3 linked regions of the Cricetulus griseus genome follow. The protein of the gene in region 3 interacts with the protein of the main gene of each other region in a pairwise test. Links are inferred from orthologs where the notes say so. Each region holds a gene or a part of one and is shown on either strand. Other genes may lie near its edges. The genes, in order: Arpc5l, Eef1a1 and Gadd45g.

Region 1 (6,678 bases), on a different chromosome or scaffold from region 3:
AAGCAGTACCCCAGTAGCACCTAACTCCCATTGATGAGAGTTGCTGTCCAGTCTGCTGTTAAGGACACAATCAAAACCCTGGTTCTGACAACACTGGGCAGAGCTGCAGTATGGCTTCTTTACCTTCACAGCTTGATTCTTGGTGTTGATTGGAGAGTTCCGCAAGGCTGCATGGAATGCCCGAAGCATGTCCCCTGTGCATCAAGGCCAGTTAAGGATGGCTAAGCTCAAACATGTCCATGTTCTCATTAATGACCTTACTCCATAAACAGTTTAAAGGTAATCAAACAGATCTTATCCATAGCACCCACTATCCTGCTGGCCTCTCCCAGGCAGGCACAGCCTGACAGAGCCAGCTTTCCTAACCTCTGCTAACCTGCAAGCTCTTCCTTCATTCCTCCCTGAGGTGGAGGCTGTCCTGGAACTAGCTCTTGTAGACCAGGCAGGTCTCCAGCTCACAGAGATCCGCCTGCCTCTGCCTCCCGAGTGCTGGGATTAAAGGCACCACCACCCGGCTTATTTACTTCTTTGGTATATAATGTTCTGTCTGCAGGCCAGAAGAGGGCACCAAGTTCCCATTATAGATGGTTATAAGCCACCTTGTGGTTGCCGGGAATTGAACTCAGGACCTCTAGAAGAGGAGCCTGTGCTCTTAACTTCTGAACCATCTCTCCAGCCCAAGAAAACTGCCCACTTTTGTAATAGAATCTGAAACAGCCTACATGCACCTCAGTGCTAGGCTGTCTACCCTACAGAGTTCATGCACAGATGAACTGTAAGAATTCTCACCCTCTCATTCTAAAAGCGAAAAATAGACACAAACACATCCTAACTCTTCACTCAATGCTTCTTTCTAAACTACTAAACAAATAACTTGAAGCCAGCCCCAGTGGTGGTGTAAGCCTTTAATCCCAGCACTCAGGAGGCAAAAGCAGCTGGATCTCTGAATTCAAGGCCAGTCTGGTCTACAGAATGAGTCCATGGACAGCACAGCATTCAGGCAGAGGCAGAAGTCGAAGGCCAGCTGGAGAGAGCTACATGGTTAGACCCTGTCTCAAAAAAAGGGGGGGGTCTATTTTCCAGATCGGCAAAGTCTTACTTTGGCTTACAAAGTGAGCCATGAGCCATCTGTTCCCTTGCCCCACAAACCTTACATACAATCCCAACTCCACATTCACTGCTGAGATCTGAATACCCGGCACACAAAGAAAATTACAAAGTAGGTTATGTCCCCAAAGGTGACACCTATTTTAAACTGAATTACATCAGCCAACTTTCATTCCCTCATGTGAAACACTGGCTTAAGCCAAAACACTTAAAAAACAGAACAAGGAATGACTGTCCAATCAGGACATTTAAAATTCCTGTTTGTGCTGCAATCCCTATGTATAAACAGCTAGCCTCTGGTACAAACCTGATTTCCCAGCTTCCCCAGTAAGTGCCATCATGAAAAGCTGGTCTGTGCCACAAGACAAGCCACTCCCCCACTGTGCTCAATCAGACCCTACCTTATCTATTCGTTTTAGAATTCCTTTTCCTCAGACAAAGAAAGGCTAGTCCTGATACAGCCAATGATAGCCTTCTACCCCATAACTTTTTAACTTGGTATACACTAGGCAATAAGCAGGGTCCCAGAGGCTTAACAGTACATGTGGACTAACATCATTTCACTGACAAAATGGATATGGGGGAAGGACAAGAATGTTAAGTTTAGTACTGCTTTTTGTTTTTTTGAGAAAGGGTTTCTCTTTATATCTTTAGCGCTTGTCCTGACCAGGCTGGCCTCGAACTCAGATACCCACCTGTTTCTGCTTCCCAAATGCTGGGGTTAAAGGTCTGTGCCACCACTGCCAGACAGTACCTGCAGCTTTTTGTGAAGCAATCTTCACAAAAGCTACTGCTGGGTAGAACTGGGGGGGGGGGGGGGGGGGCAACTCTACGATCACACAAAGTTTACTAAACTACCTCCATACCTAGACAGCTTCCAGCACTTTCAGAGAACACACTGTGGTAACTACAGAACCCTCTAGACTGTTCTCAGCCATGACCCTAAAACTTTGATGTGTGTTGCAGGATGCTTAACAGCCTCCCTGGCCTCTACCGTTAAAGTTCCCAGTAACATCCTAAAACTGTGATAAACAAGTGTCACCAGATTGTCAAATTTCCTTGGGGGTGAAAAGAACTATATGAAATCACTCAAAATGGTGCTCTATAGTCCTCTTCAAGGACCAAAAGCTGCTTCACTGAGAAAGAAAATGAGCTACAGTGATAATTTAAAACTGCCAGAGTGGAGGAAAAATCTCCCCAGGGTCTTAGACCCAGGACTAGATGCAGTCACATTTCACATTTCACCTTCCTTTAAAAATCCTCTGGGACAAGAACCTGACTTCTTCCTTTGAGACAATGAAACTGAGCCAGAAGGGAAATTACCTGCTCAAGGTCACAAATCCAAGCCCTCTGTACACTCCATCACCACAACCTGTGGAGAACACCAGATGTGTGTTCCGTGAAGCTACATTGAAGTTGTGAGGCCAGCATAGTTATGTCTATCATTTAGAAAAAGAATACTGAGGTTGAGAAGTATGTGACCTCTCAACCGGGGCTCTGCAAAGTCCACCAAATCTTCCTGTGCTGGTCCTGGGCCCTTCCCCATGTGTCCACGGCCAGAGCGTATCCCTTCACGTGGGAAGGGCTCTCAAAGTCCCTTCTTGCACCAGGGAAAAATACTCTATCTGCTCTTCTACAATGGCAATTCCCACAACAGCGGAGACCACTTCCTCTTAGCCCCCCCCCCCAAACCTCTGCTCTTCTCCAAGACTCCCTCCCATGAGGTTCTTTGGATTGAATGCAATGATCGAAGTCCAACACTTGGCACCTGGAAGGCACTCAATTACTACTTCCATCCTTCCCCCTACCTGCTGACATCTGCTAGGGTTTCACTTCTCATCTGCTAACCTCCCTTCTCCCAATCCCAAGAGGTACATTTTCCACCGTAACAAGGCTTCTGATACTGCCATCTCCTCTCTCTAGAAGCTCTAAATCTAAAGCCTGAAACTGCCTCATTAAAAAAATAATGAAAACAGCTAGCGCCAGGCATTGGTGGCGCACACTTTTAGTCACAGCACTCAGGAGGCAGAGGCAGGTGAATCTCTGTGAGTTCGAGGCCAGCCTGCTCTACAGAGTGAGTTCCAGGACACAGAGAAACCCTGTCTCCGGTAAAAAAAAAAAAAAAAAAAAAAAAGTACCAAGGCAACAGCTGACCAAGCCCCAGTCTCTTCATCAATATAATTAGGATTCTGGGTCAAATGAATCACTCTGGAGCCTTGTCAACAATTGAGTGCCCATAAACCAGTCAATTCCCTGCACCACAATAAAAACCGTTCTCATCACCCCATTTAACCACTTGAATGATGCAGGAAATACAAGTTTGAAATCTCCACGTTTGAAAACACTCCTGTCTGGACGAGTTGTTTTAAAGGTATATTAGAGAACTACGGGGCTCCTCCCAAAAGCAGTAGGCCTGACTTCCCAGGCTAAGTCAACTGATTAAACACCCAGAACATGATTTATATACAGCAAGAGCCTCCAACACGGCCCTAGCAAGTGCGGGGGAAGGGTACACACCATTTGCATAAAGAATAAAAACTTCCTGTGAGATTGTCAGTTCCCCGTGGTGCTCAAGCCAGTTGACAGTCACCTCTATTTTTATTCTTCTGTTCTAAACGTCAGTTTTCTGTGGCCACAAGAGCAGTCATTTCCAGTCGCTGGGGAGTCTCTTTTACACTTGACACTAGCTTTTTCTATGCTTCCTGCACAAGGCAGTTAATGGGAGAGTCGCAAATCACTTGTTGAATGTGGCTCGGCCCATAAAAGCTCAAAACCCAACGTGCTCAGAGGAATGTGATGACAGGTGAGAAGAGGTGGCACGGCAATGTCACACCCTCCCCTCCCCAACCCCCACCCTCTGGTCCATCTTCCCCCCAACAATCCACCCACCTATTTTCACGCTGGGCTGCAATCGGGCCCAAGAAAGCCATAGACAGGCCGCCGGAGGCCCTGGCTGCTCAATGAATCCAAGGTGGCTCACCTCCGGCCCTCCCGCGGATCAGCGGCCGGGCATGGCCCAGTCTCCTGCAAGGAGGTTTGGAGGGATCAAGGCCCATGCACGGGTACCCAGAGGGATGCGGAGGAGTAAAACGAGCTCCAGGGCCGCGCTGCTGAGGAAGGGTAGAGGCCGGGGACGAAGGACCCGGGGAGCTCGGGACTGGTAGAAGCCGGGCGGGGGCTAGGGCTGGGGCGAGAAGGGTGCGTGCGAAGGCCGAGTCCGAGCGGCCTCGCCGGGAAGGATATTGCCGCAGGAGCCCGTCCACCTCGGCGGGGTCGGGGCCTGGCTCGCCAGCCGCCGCCGCCGCCTCTTCCTGCTCGTCAACGAATTTGTTCTCGTCAAACTCGTCGATGTCCACCCGACGGAAACGTGAGGACAGTGTGTTCCGGGCCATGGCGGGAGCTCGGCGGCTGCCCAGCCGGCTAGATCCCACTGCCCTCCGCACCGGCTCCGCTCGGGGGCGGGAAGCCGCAGCGAAGCACCTCCTGCCCTTCTCCACGCGCAGCCGCCGCCGCCCGCCCACTTCCGGGCCACGTCGGAACCGGAAGCTTGTGTGGGCGGGACAGAGGCGCGGATTCGTTTGTTCCTGTTGTGGCTTCCCCTAGCGGTGCCGCGGTTGCTGTGTCTTCCTCCAGGCTACCGGCCTGCGGGCACAGGCAGCACCTCCGTCAGCTCCTGAGGAAGAAACCCTTGAGCTGAGGAAGGAGTGATAGTGAAGCGCGTCGCCTGAGCCTCTCTACCTTGGACGCGAACCGCACTGACCCACAAAAGGATTCCTGTCTGGTTACAGAGAAGTGACTTTGTTAAAGGAGTGAAGGGCTTTATAACTGCGTTAACGTATAACCCAAGAACTGACATGACGCTTGAGGACATCTTTACTTGAAGATGTAGCAACATCTCCGGGCGCTCCGAAAAAAAAGATGCCGTGGTCACCTTTATTGCTGAAGGCCGATGCTGACTTGAAGAGGTGCATTTTAGGAGGCGAAAGCAGCAGAATTCAGAAACCGGTGGGAAGAGTGCAGTTAGTCCAGGAGGCCTAGGATGCTGGTTTCTCCTGATTTCAGCTGTAGGCTAAAATGGGCTTTTCCCATAATTGTACGAAAACTTACTACATTTTCATCTGATAGCACTCTTGTGCAAAAACAGTATTTGAAACATCATGTTTTGCTTTGCCTACTTCCCATTGAACTGTATCTGTAGATCAAAAACTGCCAGGCAGACATGGTGCAAGTAGATGCTGAATAAAGTCTCAGATCCTGGAAGTAGTCAAAACCTACCTGTATATCTGCCCCATACATAAGAAGAAATCTGGGATGCAGGCTGGCCATAAAATAGCAGGAATTAACATCTGATATTATAAAAGATGTCCTTTTTTTTTTTTTTCTTGGTTTTTCAAGACAGGATTTCTCTGTGTAGCTTTGGAGCCTGTCCTGGAACTAGCTCTTGTAGACCAAGCTGGTCTTGAACTCACAGAGATCCTCCTGCCTCTGTCTTCCAAGTGCTGGGACTAAAGAAATGTCCTAGCTTTACAACCTCCCGGCTTATAAAAATGTTCTTGAGACAACATCTTTAAATATGTTTTTAATATTTTACTTAAATGTGTATTTTGCCTGCCGGTATTTCTGTGCACCACATGGGTGTTGTGCCTGATGGAGGACAGAAGAGGGCATGAGATCCTTTAGAACTGTAATTACACAGATGGTTTAGCGCCACCATGTCATAGGGGTGTTGGGAATGGAACCTGGTTCCTCTGGAAAAGCAACCAGTGCTCTTATGTATCAGTCCATCACTCCAGTCTCTCTCCTAGAAAATCTTGGTCAGAAGGAACTTAATATCAGAAATACTGGTTTAACAGGGAAGTGACCGCAAATAATTATGTGAATGAAATAATGTTCTAGCTCATGTCCGTGGCCTTTCATCAGATAGGCTTTTAAATTCATGATATGAAATCTGACATGGTAGTGCACCCCTGCAATCCTGAGGACCAAGAGTCTGCATTAACCAGGAGTTAGTGGTACATGCCTTTAACTCTAGCACCTGAAAGGCAGAGGCCAGCCTGGTCTACAGAGCAAGTTCCAGGACAGGCTCCAAAGCTACAGGGAAAGCCTGTCTCAAAAAAAAAAAAAAAAAAAAAAAAAGAAAGAAAGAAAGAAAAGAAAAGCGAGAGAGAGAAAGATCTGGGAACAAGAACTAAAAAAGTTTCAAGGTGTGTTAGGTATGGTGGATCTCTGAGTTTAAGGCCAGCCTGATCTACATAATGAGTTCCAGGACAGCCAAGGCTAGATATAGCAAGACCTTGGGTTTTTTGGGGTTTTTTTAAATGTTAATTTACGAGTAGGCTATAGGCAATAGTAGCTCAAGCCTTGAAGGTGCCAAAAAAAAGGGGGTGATGGGAACCTATTAGGTGTTTTCAAGATAAAGCCTACAGGATTTGCTGGTAAATTAGATGGGGCATGTAATAGAAACAAGCGATGACTGATAACTTCAACGATGCATTTCTAGGGATGCAGCCTATTGTGGCATACTTACCCAGTACACTGGAGATCCTGGTTTTGTTTTTTTGTTTTTTTTGT
Region 2 (6,678 bases), on a different chromosome or scaffold from region 3:
TAAGAATACCTTCCTAATTCCTGTAAATTCCTTCGTTTTGTGTAGTTTATAGACACGTTTGTGCCTGGTACAGGCCATTAGGTCCCTCATACTAGAGTGTTGTGAATCCCAAATTCCATTTTACGTGTCTGAGGACAAATTCAACTCCAGACTAGTCACACTGGCAACCAAACACGTAATCAGCTAGACTTAAATAAAGCAAGCACTATATATATTAGCTTTCACTTCTGTTTTTCAACACTAAAGGACTGATGTATGCTGGTATGTAGTTAATTTGGTAAAGGGCTTTTATTTACATGCAAACCTTGAGGCCCTGGATCCCATCCGAGCTCCTAACACACATGCTCCTCTATGCTAAGCTTTTAAAGTGCCAGTAGGTGGCGCTACACCACTAAGTTGAATGCTAGGCGTGACAAATTTTTCCATATCCTATGGTGTACACCTTCTGAGACTCAATCCTGCCCCTTTCCAGGCAGATCAGGCAATGACTCCTTGCAGGTATAGTAATTCCTCACCGTCTGCCTACAACCCATCCATTTATACTGACAAACCTTTAGTCACCGGTTTAGTCATCAGCCCAATTGAACAAGCATGCACTATAGAATGGATAAGTGTACCAGTTTCTCCTGAAAGGTGAAAATGCCACTTTGCTTATGGCCCAGGTATTTCAAAGTGACTCCTAACCCAATTTAAGACCACCTGTTGTAATGACATCTACCAACTCAACCAACTCCACACTATAACTTTTTGTCCTTATCTCCTGCTAAATAAACACCCTGCAGATTACCAAGGGCTTCAGCGGTTGGGAGCACTTTTTCTCCCAATTCTGAATTCCCAGAAACCACAAGGTGCCTTCCAAACAATCAGATGTGGATGCCCTTATCTGGCAGTTGTACTATATGCACTAAAGCACTCACACATTAAAGTGTGTGAAGTACTCAAAGTCCCCCAATCTCACCTTCTACCTTTTCTGCTTAATCTTTGTGCCCCAGATGGCCTTTTAAATTCCTGATACCATTACAAGCTACAGAAAGGCTTATTTATATCCCAGCCTAAATAAAACCTCTTGAGCACTTTCAGTTTAAACTCTAAGTGATAGAATCAAACATCCAATGCACAAGATGAACCCTTTCCTGAAAACTAGTTCTAAAATTGCTAGAGCAAAGCCTGCCTCATATATTAATATTCACTAACAATACACTAACTGTATGATGTCATTTACTTGTGTAAACCCCAAAGGCTCAAGACAAATCAACTGAACTCACCCAGATGAAGGGTAGTCACCATGTCTGCCAAAAACATTCCTAATTTGTCCCAACCAGAACCTTCAAGACACCCACAGGTAATAAGCCATCTCTTGAGCCCTTGAAACTCAGCTCTGGGTCCTGATGAACAGTCCAATCCCTTGGAACACAAATGGGCATCCACATACCTTGCTAAGCTAAGCACTTAGTAATGACTTCAGCATTAACAGAGACAGACTTCTCATTAAACTTGTATTTTAATGGGTCTCAAAATTCTGTGACAGATTTTTGGTCAAGTTGTTTCCATTAAAAAGTACTGATTTTGAAAACTAATAACTTAAAACTGCCACACACACAAAAATGTTCCACAAAACATTCTCCTTTCCTCCTGAAGGTTTTCCGATGCATTGTTATCATTAACCAGTCTTTCACTATTAAACTTAAATGGCCAATTGAGACAAACAGTTCTGAGACCGTTCTTCCACCACTGATTAAGACTGGGGTGGCAGGTGTTAGGGGTAATATTCATTTAGCCTTCTGAGCTTTCTGGGCCGACTTGGTGACTTTGCCCGCTCCAGCAGCCTTCTTGTCCACAGCTTTGATGACACCCACAGCAACTGTCTGCCTCATGTCACGAACAGCAAAACGACCTACACAGAAACAGTTATGAGCACTTGTTCATACAGCATTTCATATCCAAACAATACTCAGTGCAACAGAAACTTAAGTTCTACTTACCCAGTGGAGGATAGTCAGAGAAGCTCTCAACACACATGGGCTTGCCAGGAACCATATCAACGATGGCTGCATCACCAGATTTCAAGAATTTAGGGCCATCTTCCAGCTTCTTACCAGAACGGCGATCAATCTTCTCCTTAAGCTCAGCAAACTTGCATGCTATGTGAGCTGTGTGACAATCCAGTACAGGAGCATAGCCAGCACTAATTTGGCCTGGATGGTTCAGGATAATCACCTGAAAGAAACAGCATTTGGTTAAATCTTGCCTTCAGGTTTTGCATGCTGCTATCAATATTACACTCTTGACACCTATCTTGTTTACCTGAGCAGTGAAGCCGGCTGCTTCCATTGGTGGGTCATTTTTGCTGTCACCAGCAACGTTGCCACGTCTGACATCTTTGACAGACACGTTCTTTACATTGAAGCCCACATTGTCTCCAGGAAGAGCTTCACTCAAAGCTTCATGGTGCATTTCAACAGACTTTACTTCTGTTGTAACGTTGACTGGAGCAAAGGTAACCACCATTCCAGGTTTTAAAACACCAGTCTCTACTCGGCCCACAGGAACAGTCCCAATACCTAAAAACATTTACAGTATATAAGGTGAAGACAACTGAACACACCTCAAAACATCTTAGTCCAGTGTCCGAATGCTCTACTTACCACCAATTTTATAGACATCCTGGAGGGGCAGTCGCAGTGGCTTGTCAGTGGGACGAGTTGGTGGCAGGATACAATCCAAAGCTTCCAGCAGTGTGGTACCACTGGCACTGCCATCTTTACGGGTGACTTTCCATCCCTTGAACCAAGGCATCTGAAATGCAGAGTAGCCAAATGTTTTATAATCTCTCCCCCCTTACAGCTTTTCCATTTAACCACCTTCTTCAAGTCACTTACATTAGCACTAGGCTCCAGCATGTTGTCACCATTCCAACCAGAAATTGGCACAAATGCTACTGTGTCAGGGTTGTAGCCAATTTTCTTAATGTAGGTGCTGACTTCCTTCACAATTTCCTCGTATCTCTTCTGGCTGTAAGGTGGCTCGGTGGAATCCATTTTGTTAACACCAACAATTAGCTGTTTCACACCCAGGGTGTAAGCCAGAAGGGCATGCTCACGGGTCTGCCCATTCTTGGAGATACCAGCCTCAAATTCACCAACACCAGCAGCAACAATCAGGACAGCACAGTCAGCCTAAGAAAAAGTTACCTCCCGTTAATAACAAAGCTTTCCAGCTGGAGGTAAGGGTCAGAAGGTAGTAAATTTCACAAACCTGAGAAGTGCCAGTAATCATGTTTTTAATAAAGTCTCTGTGTCCTGGGGCATCAATGATGGTCACATAGTATTTGCTGGTCTCAAATTTCCACAGGGAGATGTCAATAGTGATACCACGCTCACGCTCAGCTTTCAGTTTGTCCAAGACCCAGGCATACTTGAAGGAGCCTTTTCCCATCTGTTCAGTGATTCGCAGTTAGTACACTCAAAACATCTAGTTTCTAAATAAACAATTTCCTGCTTACGGTAGATTTCCACCCCCCCCGACCTTTTCCCTTCGAATACTTGCCTCGGCAGCCTCCTTCTCAAACTTTTCGATGGTTCGTTTGTCGATTCCACCACATTTGTAGATCAGGTGGCCGGTTGTGGTGGACTTGCCTGAATCTACGTGTCCAATGACAACGATGTTGATATGAGTCTTTTCCTTTCCCATGTTGGATTTGAATTAGCGGTGGTTTTCACAACACCTTAAAAAAAAAGTTCGAAGAATACCTTTGAACGGCTAAGCAGCTTTGTCAATCAGCTTCGCTCCAAACTCAAAATGGGCAAATTCCAAGAATTACTTCCATGGCCAGGCTGGCCTGGCTACAGTCTCCACCCACCAAATGTGAGCAAACTCCAACGCCATTAGACAGATCCCCTCCCCCAGCGGAGGCCAGCGGTGCTCCGAAAGAGCGCCCGGGGTGACTGAAGTGCGGCCGGTACACCACGGGGTCACAGGAAGCAGCGGCCGGCGAGGGGCAAGGCCCTCTTCCTTTGTGTGGGTGACTCACCCGCCCCGCTCCGCCGGGCTGCCGCGTCCTCCATTTTGAGCTCCTTGCTACAGGGCCCGGGAGCGGCCATCTTTCCGCGCACGCAACTGGTGCCGGGCGGGCGGGCCTCGCCCTCCTCGGAGCTAAGCCACTACGGGGTACTGGCCAGACCGGGCCGGGACCCGGGGCCACCTGAACCCGGCATCTAAAACCCACCGCCCGGCCGCCTTATCAGGACACAGGCCGCTACCCGTCCAGGCGGCGTCGGACATGTGCTGCGGGACGGGCGGGCCCGGTCCCCCCCCCGACTGCTGCCGCTCTCCCTGCCCGACATGCGGACTACGGGGCTCCCTACCAGCCAGCTCCACGCCCTCCCTTTGTTGGCCCGGGCCGCGGGCAGGCAATCGAGGGCAGCCGGGCAGACAGCAAAGCGCGGCCGCGGTGGCACGCGGCGGGGCGGAAGCCACGCTAGGCCTCACGCCCGACACGAGGCGAGGCTCCGGGGCCGCCGCCAGGCCTCCCCCCCTCGCCCTCCCGCACAGCCCGCCATCCAGGGCGGGAACGCTCGCAGAGAAGCCCGGCCGACGACACCCGCACGGCGGCCCGACCCCGCTCAAAGGAGGGAGCCCGGGCCCGCGGAGGCCACACCCGCCACTCACCTGCGTTCTGACGGCAAACCCGTTGCGAAAAAGAACGTCCAACGCGACTACCGCACTTTTATACCGTTCTCCCCCACCCTCGGGAAGAGGGCGGAGCCAGCACACGACACCACTTTCCCAGTTTGCCCCGCGCTGGCTCCCGGGCCCCCGCTCAGCGCGCCCCTCCCCCACCGCCGGGGACTGTGGGCTTGTGCTCTCCCGCCGACCCGCGATCCGCCCTAGGCGCAGGCTCCTCCCGCCGCGCTGGGCGGGCACAGCGGTTCCGGGCTGGGAGGCCGGCCAGAATTTAGCGACGGTCCCTGGGATTCCCAGGGGCGAAGGCGATCCCTCCTTTTGTATGAATTACTCTCGGCTCCAGTCGGGGGTGGGGCGGTGAGGAGCTGGCCAAGAGGGCGTCCAGAATCTGTCCCTACCCTTCCTGACTCCACTGCCAAGGCTGTGTCGAGATCCGGGTGTCCCTTCCCGTGGAGGCCACCTCCCGACGTCAGCCCCGCCATCCCCCTGCTTGTCCCCCGCGGGAGAGGTGCACAATCCTAGGGACCCTTCCCAGCCCCAGAACCTAAGGGCTCAGCTCGGTGGCCGAGAGCTCGACGGATCTGCCCCTGTGCTGGCCTCTTGGTTCATTCCATCCAGCGCCAGCTGCTTCTCTGGAAGCCTGAAGCGCGCTTCACGCCCTGGGAGTTCCGTTCAGAATAATACTTAAGTCCCACAGTTAGCTTTACTTCTGATTCTGGGCTTCTTAAGCTAAAAAAGGATTTTGTGTGTGCGCGCATTGTGTGTGTGTGTGTGTGTGTGTGTATTTGGGTACAGTTATTTGATAGAGCACGAGGAACATGAAAAGAATCTAATCAACTCCACGTGGTCTCATTTAGAGGCCAGCATTAGCAATCTTACTCGCCCAGAGCCCATCCCTGACACTTGTGAAATCAGAGCTTCTCAAAAATGGCTCGTCCTATTATTTAAATGCTTGTCATTCCTACAGTTCCAAGGATCATAACTGCGTTTTGCTGTGGTTCTGATTGTGTGGCTGTTTTGTTTTTGAGACAGTCTCTTTAGCCCTGGGTGCCCTGAAACTCACTAGGTAGACCAGGCTGACCTCAAACTCACAGAGATCCGCCCTGCCTCTGCCTCCTGCGTGCTGGGATTAAAGGCGTGCGCCACCATGCCGGCCCTAGCCTGTTTTCTTTTCTTTTTTTTCTTTTTTTTTTTTTTTTTTTTTGGCCCTGGCCAGTTTTAAATGCCTCTCCGGGCAGGATCTCAGAAGAAAGAAAAACTTCTTTGTTGTTTTGTTTCTTAATGCTAGGGACGGTGAAAAGGTATTTTGTAATGGAATATGGGGTTGTGGAGATGGAACCGAGGGTCTCAGCACACCAGGCAAGCACTCTTATCACTAAGCTACATTTTTAGCCTTAGAGTATTTATTCCTAATAACCTGATTATGGGCTCAAGAGATCTCCTCCAGATGTACAACATCACTGCCTAGTAACAAACAATTGATATTATTGAACCAACCTAATAAGGAGCATTTGAGGACCTACTGTCCGGTGTCCACATGTGGGATCTGCAAAGGAACTATTTGCTTCCGGACAAGACTCCACAGTCAAGCTAGGAAGGAAAAAAACTGAAATATAAAACAAATTTTGGGATGAGTTGAAAGCAAATTTACATGATACTTGATTCTTACCTATTATCTAGTTCTAGTTTTCACAACCCAAACTGTTGTTGTTTTTAATTTTTTTAAAAATAGCATTATTTAGTGTGTGTGAATGCACATGCTGTGTATAGCTATGTGTGGGGACCAGAGGACACCTTCCAGGAGTCAGTTCTCTTCCCTCAACCATGTAGCTCTAAAGGATCCAACTCAGAGTCAGGCTTTGCAGAGAATGCCTGTGACCACTGAGCCCTCTCACCACCTCCTGATGTTATTTTTGTTTGTTTGAGACAAAACCTGGGGCGTTGGTGGTGCATACCTTTAATCCCAGCAGAGGCTGGCTGATCTCTGAGTTCGAG
Region 3 (6,654 bases):
CACTCATGTTCCTCACCTTAATGTGTGTGTCATGCTTAGCCCATACGTGGGGTTTATCCGTGCATTTTCACCAATCATCACTCTAAGTATGAAACGTAGTGTGTTCACAAACACTGTGCACATGAAGGCTTGGTATGTGATTCGGTTGGTAGAGTGCTTGCCTAAGTTTCATCCCCAGTACCGCACAAAATGAGGTAAGGTGGCCCAAACTAGTAATTCCAGCACTTCTGAGGTGAAGACAACAGGACCAGAGGTTTAGGGTTATCCTTAGCTACGTAGTGAGTTTGAAGCCAGAACCCTGCCTAAATAACTACACACCATACAATGTACTTCCTGCCCTCTTAGTTCATTTTAATATTAGCATGCATCTATGAAGAAAAAAAAAAGGAAAGAATTCAGCACAAATTTTGGCCACCCTCATCCCCTCCCATTCACTAGCCATTCAAACCTGCATTCCTTCTCTCCCCACCCCCACCCCACTCCCTACTGAAAATTCTTGTCTCCTAAAACTCTAACAGGTGGCCACAAAGTAAGGGCCAGTCAGAGAAAGCCAAGTTTCCTGACCGATTGCCAATTCAAATGTTCTACAAGGGTCTGCCATTCTGCAGTGTTCTGCTGAGTTCATGCATTTCAGGCCACCTTCTGGGGTAATTTGTTTTAACTGCAGCCCACTATGGCAAGAAGTCATTTTTATCAGCTTGCAGGTCTAGTCTGCAAGACTCTCCCACCTAAGAAAAATTAGAGAAAACACCATAGGAAGCAGTAATGATATTCGGGCACAATGTAGCTTAATTGTTTCACCAGAGTTGGTTTCCAGTAGAAACGGAATGCTTCCCTTACCGGAAGTGTCATCCAGCTCCTCCAGTTTTCCTGCTGCCTTGTACAGGCTTCCAGAATGTGGAGTGGAGTTTTAAAAGTGGCACTCAACCGGGAGACCAGCCTCCCTAAGCAATGCTGGTAAATCGGCCGAATGGCCTTCTAAGAAAAACAGCACCCCACCCCTCCCTTCCCCGAAGGCTTTCACGCTGCCGGGCAGCAGAGCTGACAGCAAGAATGCCCCACGTGGGCTTCCCCTGACAAACCCAGACAGCCTGAAACAGGCAGTGAAAGCCAGAGCACTAAACTAACAGAAAAAGTCCTCTCACTGGGACGTGTCCCCCACATCCTTCTCAAAAGGTAATCTTGGCTCCCAAGCGTTTCTCCTCCGACTTTAAAAGGAATTGTGGGTAGCAGCAGCCCTCACTGATGTGGGCAAAGGCACTCGGAATAGGAACTAGCAGATGCCCACCCCACTCAGCCTGGCTCACGCCTATTTGTGTGGGACTGTGCCTCCAACTTCTGCTAAGATACTGCTAAGATTTCCATCACGGCCGTGACAAAATGATGATTCACACTTAAAACGCAGTCGTTGGTGTCATATTTGATATTAATACTTTAGTAGCGCTGCTTTGCCAGAGCAATTAAAAGGAGAAAGTTCCTGAAAGCAAGAGCAGTCCACCCCTATCCACAGGCACCACCGAGGGCAGAGTTGCAGAAGGCAGCTCATTGTATTGGAAGGCGCAGGGCCTCCCGCAAGCGGTTCAGATAAGCAGCTGTCGGAGGCAAGGGGGGGAGGGGAGAAACTGGAAGCAGAAGTCACTGTTATCGGATTGGATTGCAAGCCTTGCGCTCCTGCGCCGGGATGCCTTATCTCAAGTATGCCCCCGTCTTGCAAGTTAAAAATCTTCCTGGAAGGATAAAACAGTACTCGGGCCCCAAGTCCTCCCCCTTACTTCTCGCCACCATCCCCTCCCCCACTGCCAGCCCCAGCAGGCTGTAATTTCTTGCCCAACAGAAAGGTGGTTACAGGTGCCATAAGCTCCATCAACCACCAGAAACACCCTTTACCACCTCCCCCGAGATAGGAATCCCCTGCCCTCAATAAAAGGCGGAAGTTTGTTTCAATGAGTTTATTGTGAAATTCAAAGCTTCCACGATAGCGTCCTTTAGAAAATGAAAGCATTGCCCGGGATCCCTTTTGGGAAAGAGCGGTGCAGCCTGCGAAGTCCGGCTCGCTCCTGCAGCTGGCCACTCCTGTAGCTGTACCAAGTCCAGGCCGCCTGCCTTGCTTTTCCTCTCGTTTCACTGGAAGGCTGCTGAGTCACGCCTGCCTCACTAGTCGGTTCTTCCCGGCCCTGCGGCCAACGTCCCTGCCTAGGCCTTCCTGTGCTAGCAGCCTCTCTGGACAGTGGCAGAGTCCTGGGCTCGGAACAAGGTGTCCCCGCCGCCGCCAGGCCCCCTTCTTGGGAGGCTGCGCTCCTCGCTCTCCAGGCAACACCGCCTGCCAGTCTCCATGCGCACTCGAGCGCCCTCGGAGGGCCACTCCAGAGCCAGCAGCGCGCTAGAGCGTCACCAAGTCGATCAGATCAAGGTCCCTGCCGGGCTGTCACTCGGGAAGTGTAATGCTGGGCACCCAGTCGTTGAAGCTGCGGCTTTCCTCGCAGAACACGCTGAGTTTCTCCAAAGCAGGGTCCTTCCACGTGTCCTCATTAGGATTCTGTATTAAAAAAAAAAAAATTCAGGGGTGAGCCAGGCTGGCCGATGGCCAAAACGGGTGGGGGAAACCGGCGTGGGGAGGCAACAGCAGCACTCACCGAAATGAGTATGCAGTGCAGGTCCCCCGGCGCGCCCGCCTCGTCGTCCGCACCCACGATCGCCGCTAGCCGCTGAACATCACCCACGCGCACGATGTCAATGTCGTTCTCACAGCAGAACGCCTGGATCAGCGTGAAATGGATCTGCAGCGCTATGTCGCCCTCATCTTCTTCATCGGCAGCCAGCACGCAAAAGGTCACATTGTCAGGGTCCCTGCAGAGCAGATGGGAAGAACAAGGTCAGAGCCGATGCCACCCCCAGGTCTCCCAGCCGCGCCAAACCCAATCCCTGCACGCAGGGCCTGTCCATACTCACACATTCAGGACTTTGGCGGACTCGTAGACGCCAGCGGTCAGACAGCCCTGGCGCTGCGCCGACAGCAGAAGTTCGTGCAGCGCTTTCCCGGCGCCCTGCATCCTGTAAGAGAACAAGCACGGTGAGTGGGGACCAGCACGAGGACGCGGCGGAGATCCCAGCCCTGACCTCCAGGTCCCAGCTGGCTCCTTAGCCTAGACCTGCCTGGCGCCAGCATTCCTGCCTCCCAACTCCAACCTGGCGCCCACACACCCGGATCCCCAGTCCCGACTTGGCGCCCACACCTCTGGCACCCTAGTCATGATCTGGCGCCCTCATTCCCCATCACCTAGTCTCGCCCCGGCGCCTGCACCCCCGGTTCCCTACTCCTGATCTGGAGCCCATAGCCCAGGCTCCCCAATCCGGACCCGGTGCCAGAATCCCAGTCTCTAGCTCTAGGAATGAATCGGACGGAGTAATTGTGGCCCCACCGCCTCGGCACCTCGCTGTCAGGCAGGGCACGGCTCCCACCCCACAAACTTCCACCCTAGAAGACCCTGAAAGATCTCTACCCGACAAGTCCAACCCTCGCCACCCCAAAACCTACCTGGCTGTGCTTTCCGGAACTGTATCCTGGCCACGGACTTCTTCCAGAGTCATTGTACGATCCACGGGCAGCAAGTTATCCAAAAGTGAGGAGTGTGGAGGGAACCGAGGGATCCCGAGCGCAGGTAAGGAGCCCCAGAACCCGACCCGCGCGCCCACCACCAGCGAGTGCGCCAGGCACCGCGGCGAGCGCCCTTTTATAGACGGGCCCCGCGCGACGCCGCCAGCTGGCGGGAGGCTGCGCTCCCATTGGCCAGCGCCCGCTTTCTGATGCAAATGAGGCGGCAGGCCCGCGGCTCGTGCCAGAAGGCCACGTGGGGAGGGGTGCGGGGGATGACACAGCCTCAAATCTGCCGCTTTTGTCAGGGTGTTACCAGGCAGACTGGAGCCTGCAGATTTCATCTCGTTTTCTTTTTTGTAAGTCCTTAAAAGGAAAAAGTTAAAAAAAAAAACCAACAACGTTGTTTGCTAATATGATACTGGAATTTGTGAAATGCACGCTTGGAGAATGTAAAAAGCCTTTTTTTGCATTTATTTTTATTGCGACCTTTCTAATTTTTTTTTTAATTTCCAAATTGAGGTTTATGGGGCTGTTGCATTGAAACCGAAACTTAAAAAGTCAAAGGTTTGCAACTGCAGCTGACACCAGGCCAAGGTCGCCTCTAGAACTCAGGACTCAGCGCCTTTCAGGGTCGCGGCTGCAAGGTCTGCGCCGCCCTCCCCCACACCCACACCCCGGCCCCTGTCCCGTCCCGTCCCCCACCCCTGCCCCTGCCCCTGCCCCTGGCAGATCGCTGTGGGGCGCGGGCAGCAGGGACCAGCAGATTGCTGCCGGCACACGCGGCTCGTTTGCATTTCTATACGGGGCACACAAAAGAGGAGGTCTGGCGTGTGGCAGTTCGCAGTGGGGACAATCGACGCTTTCTCTTTCATAGCAACACTGTCCACCTGCCGCCGGGTGGGGTGGGCAGAGCCCCGCCGCGCGCGGGGGTCGCGGGGTTGCCCGGCACGTGGGGGTCTGAGCCGCGTGCCGCTCCCCCGCCCCGGGGTGCGCACCTCTCAGACTCGCCCTGGTTGCTGGGATTCTGATGCACGCGTCCCCAACCGCGGAGAAAGCAGTGAGGCACACAGGGCTACTACTCCGGAAACCCTGAGGTTCCGGGGTTCAGACTCCAGAAGCTAGGCACACGCTGTTCCACAACTCTTTTCCCAGGGCGCCGCCTACAGGCCGACCCAGAAAGTACCAGACTTCCCCATCACCCACCCCATACAGCCAGCCTCGCGCTGACCTCTCGGGGTCTTGGCCCCGGGCAGCCCGGGGCACCGAGGCCCTGTGCAATCTGCGCATTAATTGGATTCAGAGTAGAGCTTGCACTCAGTGCCCCGGGGCTGGAGAGCAAAAGGAGCCTGCCACCCAGGACTGGTGGAATACGAATCCGTCTGTCTGGTGAGACTGAAATACTTCAACTACTTAAAAAGGTTCTTTTCTGATAACGTAACAAATATGAAAGCGATCTTGGGAATTTCCTGAACTTGTCATTTGTCCGGTGAGACCTGCACACACACCACGCTTACAGACTGCTCCCCCGCACAACACGACCCTGTGGGCGCCTGTATCTCTCGTGCTACACGGAAAAGTGTTCTAGAGGACCCCTGGAAGTTCTCGACCTCTGCTGAGCGAAGCCTGAGAGACTGGTTAGGGCAAAGGGTGGACACGAAGTTTGCCAGACTGAGGCAAAAATCACACGCACGCACGCACACACGCGCGCGCGCGCACGCACGCACACAGGGGGTAATTTTCTTTTTTTACTGGAGCGTTCTTCAGGTGGGTGGTGAATGTGTACATTCAGTGTTAACCTGTGAAGTCCTTTAAGGAAGTTTTCCTGCTGCACTGGGAGGCTGCGGGTTTACCAAAGCCAAAGGCCAGGCGAGGGGCCGGTGTCTTGCGCCACCCGGAGGCTGCACTGAGAACTGCAGGTGCAGCGCTGTGGTTCCACTTGTTTTTTTTTTATCTGCAAGGTCTCTCAAACTCTCAAAGCCCCTTCCTGGCTGTCTTAGTGGCATATAAAATGATGGGGAGCCCTGCGTGAATAGAATGCTTCTAAGTGATGAAAACTTAAAGTTGTTGCTCTTTTCAAAGTTTTAACACTTCTTAACTCTCAGTTTCAGATCCTGAGGAAACGTCGGAAATAATAATCCATTTGATATCTTAGCGCACACCTGCTCCTGCCATTCATAGCTAGAAAACTGCTCACTTGTCAGGATGCAGGAAACTGCCCCCAGTCCCTCCCCGATAGGAAGGCCGGTACAGGTTAGTGCAGGCTTAGGTACTAGCGTTTCCAGACCCCGCCCCCAGCCAGTCTGGGCCAGAAGGGATGATTGACAAGCCCCAAAGCTAGTCTACTCCACTGACATTTTAAAAGGATTCGATTACAGGAAACCCTCTTTTCTGCCATAAGATATGGCCCCACACAGCTTTAATTAGGTAAGTCCTAGTGGTCCCAAAGTCCCCATCTAAATTAGGAAAGAAAGGTTTGGGGCCCAGCCGGAAGTCACAGGCAGTATTTCTGAGCTCGTACTCTACAATGGCTACACTCTTACAAAGTCCCTAGACTTTAATAATGTAAGGGACAATGAGTCTATTAAAGGGGAAGTCTCACATTTGCTCCGCTTTTGAAACTCTCTGGAGGGGTGGGGCTATAGCTCCGCGGCGCGTGGAGAGTCGCACAAGACCAGGTCTTAAAAACCATGCATGGAAGCCCAGAGCTGGAGTTCAAGGTCGTCCTTGAACTAAATAGTTAGCACCAGCCTGGTACACCTGTCTCAAAACTGAAGTAAAATAAAAGGCTTAGGAGCACCTGGAATCCCAGCTGATTGGAAGGTTGAGGCAGGAGGATTCCTGAGTCCCAGAGTTAAAGGTTAACCTGGCAAGCCAGAGAGACAATCCCCAATCCCAGTTTCTAAAATAAATAAGTAAATACCCTCTGCAGATGTTTGCTTTATTAGCATATTCTCTTAGTGACTTCCGTGACTTTGTCTGCCGGGGTGGGTATTGGTGGAAGCCCACCTCATTTGGAGGAGGATGGGAGCAGGGCCCTCGGTAATAATTTCTGGAAGGCA

The links.
Region 1: the proteins of Gadd45g (region 3) and Arpc5l interact in binary tests that used the Homo sapiens proteins (3 or more experiments, as listed by UniProt). The link is inferred for Cricetulus griseus from reciprocal best matches to the Homo sapiens genes GADD45G and ARPC5L.
Region 2: the proteins of Gadd45g (region 3) and Eef1a1 interact in a two-hybrid assay, tested with the Homo sapiens proteins (2 studies listed by BioGRID and IntAct). The link is inferred for Cricetulus griseus from reciprocal best matches to the Homo sapiens genes GADD45G and EEF1A1.

The regions. Positions count from the first base shown.
Region 1 is NC_048599.1:150,269,534-150,276,211, reverse strand, and holds the start of Arpc5l (actin-related protein 2/3 complex subunit 5-like protein), read right to left. Parts: upstream 4,620-6,678; 5' UTR 4,500-4,619; coding exon 4,351-4,499; intron 197-4,350; coding exon 124-196; intron 1-123. UniProt on the Homo sapiens protein: May function as component of the Arp2/3 complex which is involved in regulation of actin polymerization and together with an activating nucleation-promoting factor (NPF) mediates the formation of branched actin networks.
Region 2 is NC_048597.1:189,543,679-189,550,356, forward strand, and holds Eef1a1 (elongation factor 1-alpha 1), read right to left. Parts: upstream 4,702-6,678; 5' UTR 4,669-4,701; intron 3,725-4,668; 5' UTR 3,691-3,724; coding exon 3,547-3,690; intron 3,436-3,546; coding exon 3,256-3,435; intron 3,177-3,255; coding exon 2,880-3,176; intron 2,797-2,879; coding exon 2,646-2,796; intron 2,562-2,645; coding exon 2,305-2,561; intron 2,218-2,304; coding exon 1,983-2,217; intron 1,895-1,982; coding exon 1,770-1,894; 3' UTR 1,501-1,769; downstream 1-1,500. UniProt on the Homo sapiens protein: Translation elongation factor that catalyzes the GTP-dependent binding of aminoacyl-tRNA (aa-tRNA) to the A-site of ribosomes during the elongation phase of protein synthesis.
Region 3 is NC_048596.1:270,785,806-270,792,459, reverse strand, and holds Gadd45g (growth arrest and DNA damage-inducible protein GADD45 gamma), read right to left. Parts: upstream 3,702-6,654; 5' UTR 3,589-3,701; coding exon 3,536-3,588; intron 3,052-3,535; coding exon 2,950-3,051; intron 2,848-2,949; coding exon 2,634-2,847; intron 2,537-2,633; coding exon 2,426-2,536; 3' UTR 1,916-2,425; downstream 1-1,915. UniProt on the Homo sapiens protein: Involved in the regulation of growth and apoptosis. Mediates activation of stress-responsive MTK1/MEKK4 MAPKKK.